2 linked regions of the Sus scrofa genome follow. The protein of the gene in region 2 interacts with the protein of the main gene of each other region in a pairwise test. Links are inferred from orthologs where the notes say so. Each region holds a gene or a part of one and is shown on either strand. Other genes may lie near its edges.

The links. The genes of interacting proteins can lie anywhere in the genome.
Region 1: the proteins of FLT1 (region 2) and SHC2 interact in a two-hybrid assay, tested with the Homo sapiens proteins (2 studies listed by BioGRID). The link is inferred for Sus scrofa from reciprocal best matches to the Homo sapiens genes FLT1 and SHC2.

What each region holds. Positions count from the first base shown.
Region 1 is NC_010444.4:77,810,923-77,815,260, reverse strand, and holds the start of SHC2 (SHC-transforming protein 2), read right to left. Parts: upstream 2,883-4,338; 5' UTR 2,807-2,882; coding exon 2,336-2,806; intron 1-2,335. UniProt on the Homo sapiens protein: Signaling adapter that couples activated growth factor receptors to signaling pathway in neurons. Involved in the signal transduction pathways of neurotrophin-activated Trk receptors in cortical neurons.
Region 2 is NC_010453.5:5,739,656-5,743,401, reverse strand, and holds part of FLT1 (vascular endothelial growth factor receptor 1), read left to right. Parts: intron 1-3,119; coding exon 3,120-3,276; intron 3,277-3,370; coding exon 3,371-3,507; intron 3,508-3,746. UniProt on the Homo sapiens protein: Tyrosine-protein kinase that acts as a cell-surface receptor for VEGFA, VEGFB and PGF, and plays an essential role in the development of embryonic vasculature, the regulation of angiogenesis, cell survival, cell migration, macrophage function, chemotaxis, and cancer cell invasion.

The sequences.
Region 1 (4,338 bases), on a different chromosome or scaffold from region 2:
TGCATGGGACGCACCAATATCTGGCTTTCCCTGTTTGCATTTTTTTTTTTTTTTTGTCTCTTTTGGGCCACACCCACAGCATATGGAGGTTCCTAGGCTAAGGGACGAATTGGAGCTGTAGCTGCCAGCCTTTACGACACCCACAGCAGCGTGGGATCTGACCAGTGTCTGTGACCTACACCCCAGCTCACAGCAACGCTGGATCCTTAACCCACTAAGGCCAGGGATTGAACCCAAAGCCTCATGGATACTAGTCGGGTTCATTAACCACTGAGCCACGATGGGAACTCCTGCTTATCTTTTTTATTGACTGTCACTCCCTCCCTCTAGAAACCTAAGCCCCATAAGAGCAGGGATCAGCTCTTTCTCATTTCCTACCACACCATCAGCACCTGGAGGGGGGTAGGCTTGCTGCATGGATGAAAAAGTCAAGATCACTGGAATAATCCAACAGCTTGCACCCCTACGACGCAAGTGTCTGAACTCTGAACACTCCTAATCCCCATGCTCCTGGCCAATGGGCAGACAATGGTCTGCCCTTGAGGGGCTGTGGTGTGAAGCCCAAGCATCACCCAGGAGACATCTTGCCATGAAATCAGGCTCGAGTCCAGGGAAGCTGAGATTCAACAAAAAAAAAGGGGGCCACAGCCAAGTGAGAAGATGCCAGGAGAAAAAAGACAGATCCAGAATGTGGGGCAACCTGAGGCCTGCAGCCAGGCCTGAAGCTCTGCATTTCTTGCAGCCTCCTGGGGCTGCAGTGCTGGACCACAGATGGAGGAGTGAGGGCCTGGGGTGCACAGAAAGTCAAGGCCATTGGGGGCCACCATAACAAAGCATCACAAATTGGGGGCTTAAAACAACAGAAAGCTAGGAGTTCCCACTGTGGCGTAGCAGGTTATGAGCCTGACTAGTATCCATGGGGATGCGGGTTAGACCCCTGGCCTTGCTCAGTGGGTTAAGGATCTGGCGTTGCTGTGAACTGCAATGTAGGTCACAGACACGGCTGGGATCCCAAGTTGTTGTGGCTGTGGATGGCAGCTGCAGCTCCAATTCAAGCCCTAGCCCAGAACATCCAAATGGTACAAGTTTGGCCCTAAAAAAAAAAGAAAAAACCAGGAATCTAACCCTAACCCAACAGTTCTGGAGGCTAGAAATTGGGGATCAAGGTGTGGCAGGGCCATGCTGTGGGTGGAGGACACTCCAGCGAAGGGCCCTTCCCACCTCCCTCAGCATCTGGTGGTGGTGAGTGGGGACCCTTGGCTTGTGGACCCATCACTCCCTTTCTCCCCCTTTGACAGGTGACCCTTCCCTGTTTGTGTTATAACCTCCTTCTTCTTACAAGGACACCAGAAATTGCATTAGGGATGCCCTCACCCAATGTGAGCTCATCTTAACTTGATGATATCTACAAAGACTATTTCCAAAGAAGGCCACATCCATGGGTTCCTAAGGTAATGAATATGCAGGGATACCACTCTACCCAGTGCGGGAGGAGGGAGGAAAAGAGGTGTTGCAGACTGTAGTAAAGGAAGCAAAGACAGAACAAGCAAATGCAAACTCTGAAACCTCCAGGATCCCGGTCCAAAAAGTAGACAGGCTGCAAATACTGTCAGACCCTCGATGTTACAACGAAGTGCGGGTGGACAGCCTGCATGGAAGCAATTCACAGAGGTCATCCCTCTTGCTTACCGATGGTTCATCGGAAACTACACACAGGCCAGAGATGCAGAGCGGGGAGCCTACAACCCGTGTAAAGGCGAGCCACTCGTTACACGTTTCTGCGCGTCCGAAAAGTTCATGATAAAACCAGGACACATAAAGACCCATGTCTTTACCTCTCCTTCCAGTCTCCTGAGCCTCACATCTCCAATCCTGGAGCCAAGCGGAGGCAATGGACCTTCCAGTAACCCCCTCCCCGAGCCCCCACCTCAGGCCAAGGTCTCCAGCTCTGCGGTCAGAGGAGCTTTCGGTAGGGTCTGAGTGCCAGGATGCACCCAGCCTCGTCCTCACTCCCTAGACTCCCCCGCCAACCCGAAGGGGGTCTACGCTTAACATGCGCATGCGTGACCCGCTCCCACCATCCGCCCTCTCCCCGCCCCTCCCCACGTGACGCCGTGGGAACCTGGACCCAGCACCTCCTAGGTGGGGGCGACCAGCTGAGAGCGGGCTGGCGGTGGGGGTATGGGGTGATGGAGAGAGGAGGAGGGACGGAGCCAAGAGACCTGGCTCTCGGGGTCCAGGGTTGCAAGAGAAAGAAGTGGGGGATGGGAGCCCCTGCTCCCAGATTGGGGCTCCAGGGAGGATGGGATCCCAGGGGTCCCACCGGCGCACTCACCCGAACGATGTAGGAGACCCCGGGCCCCAAGACCCTGGCGTCTGGGTGTAGCCAGCCGTGCGCCGGCTTGTGGATGAAGCTGCCCTTGCGGATCCACTCGTCCGCGGCGGCGTCCGGGGGCCCGGCCACTCCCCGCGCGCCCCGTGGCCCCCGAGTACCGGCGGCCCGGCAGCGGCTGAGAGCAGGCAGGGGGCAGGGCGCCGCGCAGCGCGGCTCGCAAGCACCCAGGACCGCGGCTGCCAGCGCCGGGACGCCGGCCGAGTCGGCCGGCTCGGGCTCAGGCTCGGGGTCAGTGGACCCCGCGCTCCCCGCTGCACGCGCCGCTGCGGGGCCGCGGCCCAGGAACCCGGCAGGGGCGGCGAACTTCCACTGCGGCATGCGCGGCAGCAGCGCGCAGAAGGTGGTGGGCGCCTCGGGCTCGGGGGGTGCAGGGGGCGCGGGGGGCGCGCGCCCGCCCGGACCCTGCGTCATGGCCGCAGCCGCCCGACCGAGCCCGACCGGGCGCTGCGCCTGGCGGGGAGGAGGCCCTCCCGCTCCCTCCCGCTCGCTCCCGCTCGCTCCCCGCCCCTGGCCCGGTGATGTCATCCGTCCGGCCCAGCGCGCAGCCGCGGGGGGCTGCGCCCTTGGGACCCCCGGCCCTCGGCGTCCAGATGCTTGGTAGGGAGGCTGGGGAAACTGAGGCCCTACGAGGACACAGGCGCTGGCATGAGTCGGGTAGCCAAGGAGGGAGAGAGGTTCCGAATCCAGGACCCAGGCAGAGACCCCCTTACTTCGCCCCCCACTTGTCCCCAGGTTCCTAGGACAGAGGTGGGAGAGCCTTATAAATAGCTTCCTTCTTCCCTTTTTGACGTGGGGAAACTGAGGTCTGGAGAGGGGCGGAGACACGGTCCGGGAAGGAGAGCGCTGCAACCCCTCAGGTCATCTCCCTCACTTCCCTCTGTTCCAACCGAAGGTACTTAAAAATTTTGCCCTGCTTTATTTCCTAACTGGGAACCTGAGACTCAGAGAGGGTAAGGCATGTGCCCGAGGACACACAGCGCAGACTCCGACCCAGGAGTGCCGAGTTGGGCTGGCTGTGCAGCCTTTCCCTGGACCTCAGTTCCCCCGGCTGTAAGCCAGGGGCACGGCACGGGCTAGAGCATCACCGGCTCCTCCTTCATTTCTGAGTAGCCCCGTGCAGCATCAACCCAACTGAACTCTTGGGCCTAAGCCCTCCAGGCCAGCCAGCGTCTCCGTCCGCCAAGGCCTCCACGGCTGCCGCTTCTGCACGGAGAACGGACAGTCTTGGTCACCCCAGGACCAGCATCCCAGCCCGGCGCTGACCATCCCCCTCCCCGCCCCCTCCCCCTCCAGCCCCGCCCCAGGCTGGGCCGGCTGCCGGGAAACAAAGGGAGGGGGGCCGGGGCCGCGGCAGGTGGGGACGGGCGAGGCAGCCGAGAGCCAGATCGATAAATCAGAGGAGTGAGATCACCGCGTGGCCGCCGCCCGCGGGCGCGAGAGGAGGCAGCAATGGGGGCGGGAGGGAAGGCGCGCGCGGCTGTGATTGGCCGGCAGGCTGGGCGGGGGTGGGGGGAGGTCAGTGACGCTGAGAGAGAAATTGTGGCCCGCAGAAGGCTCGGCCTTGGGTCAGCCGGTGGGGGTGACTTTGTCGGAGTCTGGGGCACCCACCTGGACACCTGTGTGTTCCTTGTCTCTGATGTGGGCTACAAAATTGTGGACTGTGTGAGGGTTGGCTTGTATTTATACTGTGCGTGGATGTGAATGTGAGAGAGTCCAGCTGTGTGTGCAGAGGCCCTGTTGTGTGTCTTGCTGTGTGTGTAAGGGTCCTGGTGTGTGTCCAGGTACGTGTAGAGGTCCTAGGGTGTGTCCTCCTGTGTGTGTAGGGGTCCTGGTGTGTGTCCTGTGTCTAGAGGTCCTGGTGCATACCCAGGTGTGTATAGAGGTCCTGGGTGTGTGTCCAGGTGTTTGTGTAGGGATCCTGGTGTGTGTCCAGCTGTATAAGT
Region 2 (3,746 bases):
ACATTTGGTGGAGATAGAGTTTTCTCTGTTTTTCCACCCAGCTCTATAGTCATTAAAAGGAGAGAAGTATAAAATTGTTTTTCTGTTTTTTCCACTTTTCTTTTTTTGTTGCTCTTTTTTTTTTTTTTTTTTTTTTTTTTTTTGGTCTTTTCAGGGCCGCACCTGCAGGTATGGAGGTTCCCATGCTAGGACCCAGGAACTGGAGCTGCAGCTGCTGGCCTACACCACAGCCACAGCAAGGCCAGATCCTTAACCCACTGAGCGAGGCCAGGGATGGAACCTGAGTCCTCGCGGATGCTAGTCAGATGCGTTTCTGCTGAGCCACTATGGGAACTCCCTTTTTTTCACTTTTAAAAAATTAAAAGTGGAGTTGATTTACAGTGCTGTGCCAATTTCTGCCGCGCAGCAGGATGATTCAGTCATATATATATATATATTTACATTCTTTTTGCAGAGAAGCATAAAGTTCTAAGGTTTTTTTGGTTTATTACATATTTATTGAAAATGTTCTAACCTAGGAGTTCCCTGGTAGCCTAGTGGTTTAGGATCCAGCATTGTCATTGCTGTGTGGTGCGGATTCAGTCCCTGGCCCAGAAACTTCTGCATGCTTTGGGCACAGCCAAAAAAAAAAAAAAAAAAAAACAAACAAACAAAAAAAAACGACAACAGCAAAAACACCCAAAACTTAACCTATTACACGTGTATGAAGTTGCTATCTTTCCCTTCCATTTCTCTTACTGTCCCTTCTTTCCTAACGGGTTGTCCCCTCCTCTCCTTTCCCCTGCCTGCACTGGCGGAGCCCTGCTCAGCTGGCGAGAGCCTCCCTGTAGGTACTGCCTTTCAGGGCTGCCCATCTGTCTGCCCCCCTCTGACACATACAGCACCTGCCCCAGCTGATAAGCTACCTAGTCTGTTGCTGTTTTAGCTCCTGTTGGCTGGAAATCAAGTTCCTTTTTCAGTGGCTACAGCCAGTGGCAGGAATGCATAGGTGAGTAAGGGAAACACTGCAGAGGAGATTTCCATGTGTTTGTAAGTCGCACAGAGAAGTTGGCAGCCAGTCTGTCTTTGAGATTCAGCACATTGCTTTTGCTTTCACCTGTTTTTATAGTGTCATGGATTTCGATCCCTGGCTTGAAGTTTTCTGAGTTTTTCCTTTAATAGTTTGTCAAGTTAGAAGACAAGGTTCCCCACCCCCACCCCCACTGACTGCGGAGGGTTCCTAAGTTTACGGATAGAATCCTAATTTACTAAAACGACATGCATCCTTTGATTGCTTTCCATTCTCCATAGATAGGATGCAATTCATCTCAAACCCAAGTTGCACTCTGGCGATATGTACCAATGCAGACATACCCATGGGGGAATAGAAATCTCTGCCGTAGGACCATACATCCCTGTCTGCTTCCAGAAGCAGTAAACATAAATGATAAATGGATAGAGTGATGGATGCATGGCTGCACCCATGCACCTTTGGCTGCCCCTATAGCACATGCAAGTTCCCGGGCCAAGGATGGAATCTGAGCAGCAGCTGCAACCTGGACAGTCGCCCTGGTGACACTGGATCTTTTAACCCACTGCGGGCTAGGGATTGAACCCGAGCCTCTGCAGTGACCCAAGTGGCTGCACTCAGATTCTTAACTCACTGCCACAGCGGGAACTCCGAGGGGTGTGTGTATGTGTATACTTTTTTTTTTTTTTTTTTTTTTTTTTACTTTTTAGGGCCGTCCCTGTGGCATATGGAAGTTCCCAGGCTAGGGGTCAAATCGGAGCTGCAGCTGCTGGCTCACACCACAGCTATGGCAACATCCAAGCCATGACTGCAATCTCCACCACAGTTTATGGCAACGCCAAAACCCCAACCCATTGAGCAAGGCGAGGGATCAAACCCTCATCCTCATGGATACCAGTCTGATTCATTACCCCTGAGCCACAACGGAACTCCCTCCAAAGTGTACTTTTTAAAAGAAGATACAAAAGACTCGAAACTTCTTTATAGCAGTTGATGCTGTGAAGCTTGGTAATCTGTTGTGGGAAAGTGATCTGATTTTCCCCCCGCTTTTTCCAACTGGGGATAAACAATAGCAGTCATCAGACCACTGCCACTCAAACTGGCTGGCAGTCTGCCATCAGGGGAACTTGGCTGGGCCGCTCTAGGGGCAGTGACCCTTTACAAAGTCTAATCCCACCAGAGATGGTTTGAATTGAGTCCTTGGTACAGAGGAGAGGCATAGTCGGAGAATCAGATCGTGGATTCTTCTGTTTGGGGGTACTCCCAGGAATTGGGGGGCACTGCATTCGTAACTGTTTCTGGCCTCACATTCACTTTCGGCTCTCTTCCCTGTCAGCAGCCTTGGCTTCTGGAACTTTCCCTCCCAGGGGCAGGGTCGACACCCTCAGTCTTCCCCAGAGTGATAACGGCAGTAAGTGCCGAGTTAATGCCATGGACTGCAGAGGACCTAGAATTATGGTCCTTTTAAGACAGCAGCCTCTTTTTTTTTTTTTTTGCCCCCCCTGCCACAGCATATCTGCAGTTGCCACCTGAGCCGCAGCTGCATCAACACCGGATCCTTAACCCACTGTGCCAGGCCAGGGATCAAACCCGTATCCCAGCGCTCCCGAGATGCCGCCCATCTCACTGTGCCACAGCGGCAACTCCAAGACAGCTGCCTCTTTAACAAATCAGGCAAAATGGGAGGCGAATGTGTGGCTTGTTAAAAGCTCCTGGTGACGAGACCGTGAGGACGAAGTGGCAGCCCTAAGGGGAAAAACAGCAAAACATTGATTGGTTTCCTGAGCCAGTTCGTTACAAAGGGCCCAGAGCTCCGGGTTCCCACGAGGGCTCTGACGGGTGAGGAGGTCTCTCCTCTCCTCGGTGGCTGCAGCTTTCGGCCAAGGTTCTTAGCAGACGAGCATGTTGACTGCAATGCATCAGAGTCAACGTGGAGGTGGCTCCATGCAGAGCAAATTAACGAACCGACGATGACAGACTGAAGCTTCTTCCCGCACCCTTCTCATGTGCGGTAACAGCTACATTTTCAGAGCGTTAGTGAATAAGTAGGGAAACGCTTCTATCACAGGGCTAATACGACTCTGTGAAAATGCTTTTCTTCCTTTTCCAGTTTCCACCTGATACGCTGGACGGAAAGAGAATCACCTGGGACAGTAGGAGGGGTTTTATAATATCCAATGCAACATACAAAGAGATAGGGCTGCTGACATGTGAAACAACCATCAACGGACATTTGTACAAGACAAACTACCTCACGCTTCGACAAAGTAAGTGATCTTCCAGAAGCCGGAGTGCCCCTGGCTTTATCCAGTTCATGAAACGTCGATTTTTTTCTTAAATGTTACCTTGCTATGCTTGCAGCCAACACAATCACAGATGTCCGAATAAGCACGCCGAGCCCCGTCAGACTGCTGAGAGGTCACACTCTCGTCCTCAACTGCACGGCCACCACGCCCTTGAACACCAGAGTTCAGATGACCTGGAGTTACCCCGGGGAAGTGAGTGACCCTGTTGCTTCTGTAGGACAGTATTTTGTTTGAGCAAAGGCAGTGTCACTGCGTTTTCGAGGTGGGGGAAAAAATCAGAATATTCTGACTCCCGTGGTGGTTTGAGCCAATAAAGAAGCTTTGGGGTTGGTTTGGGTGCTTGTGAACGTGATACGCAAAGATACGGCCTTTTGATGTCTGGGGGCTTTGTTTTGAAGTTGTATAGGTTGGTGTTTCTGTTCCATGATTCT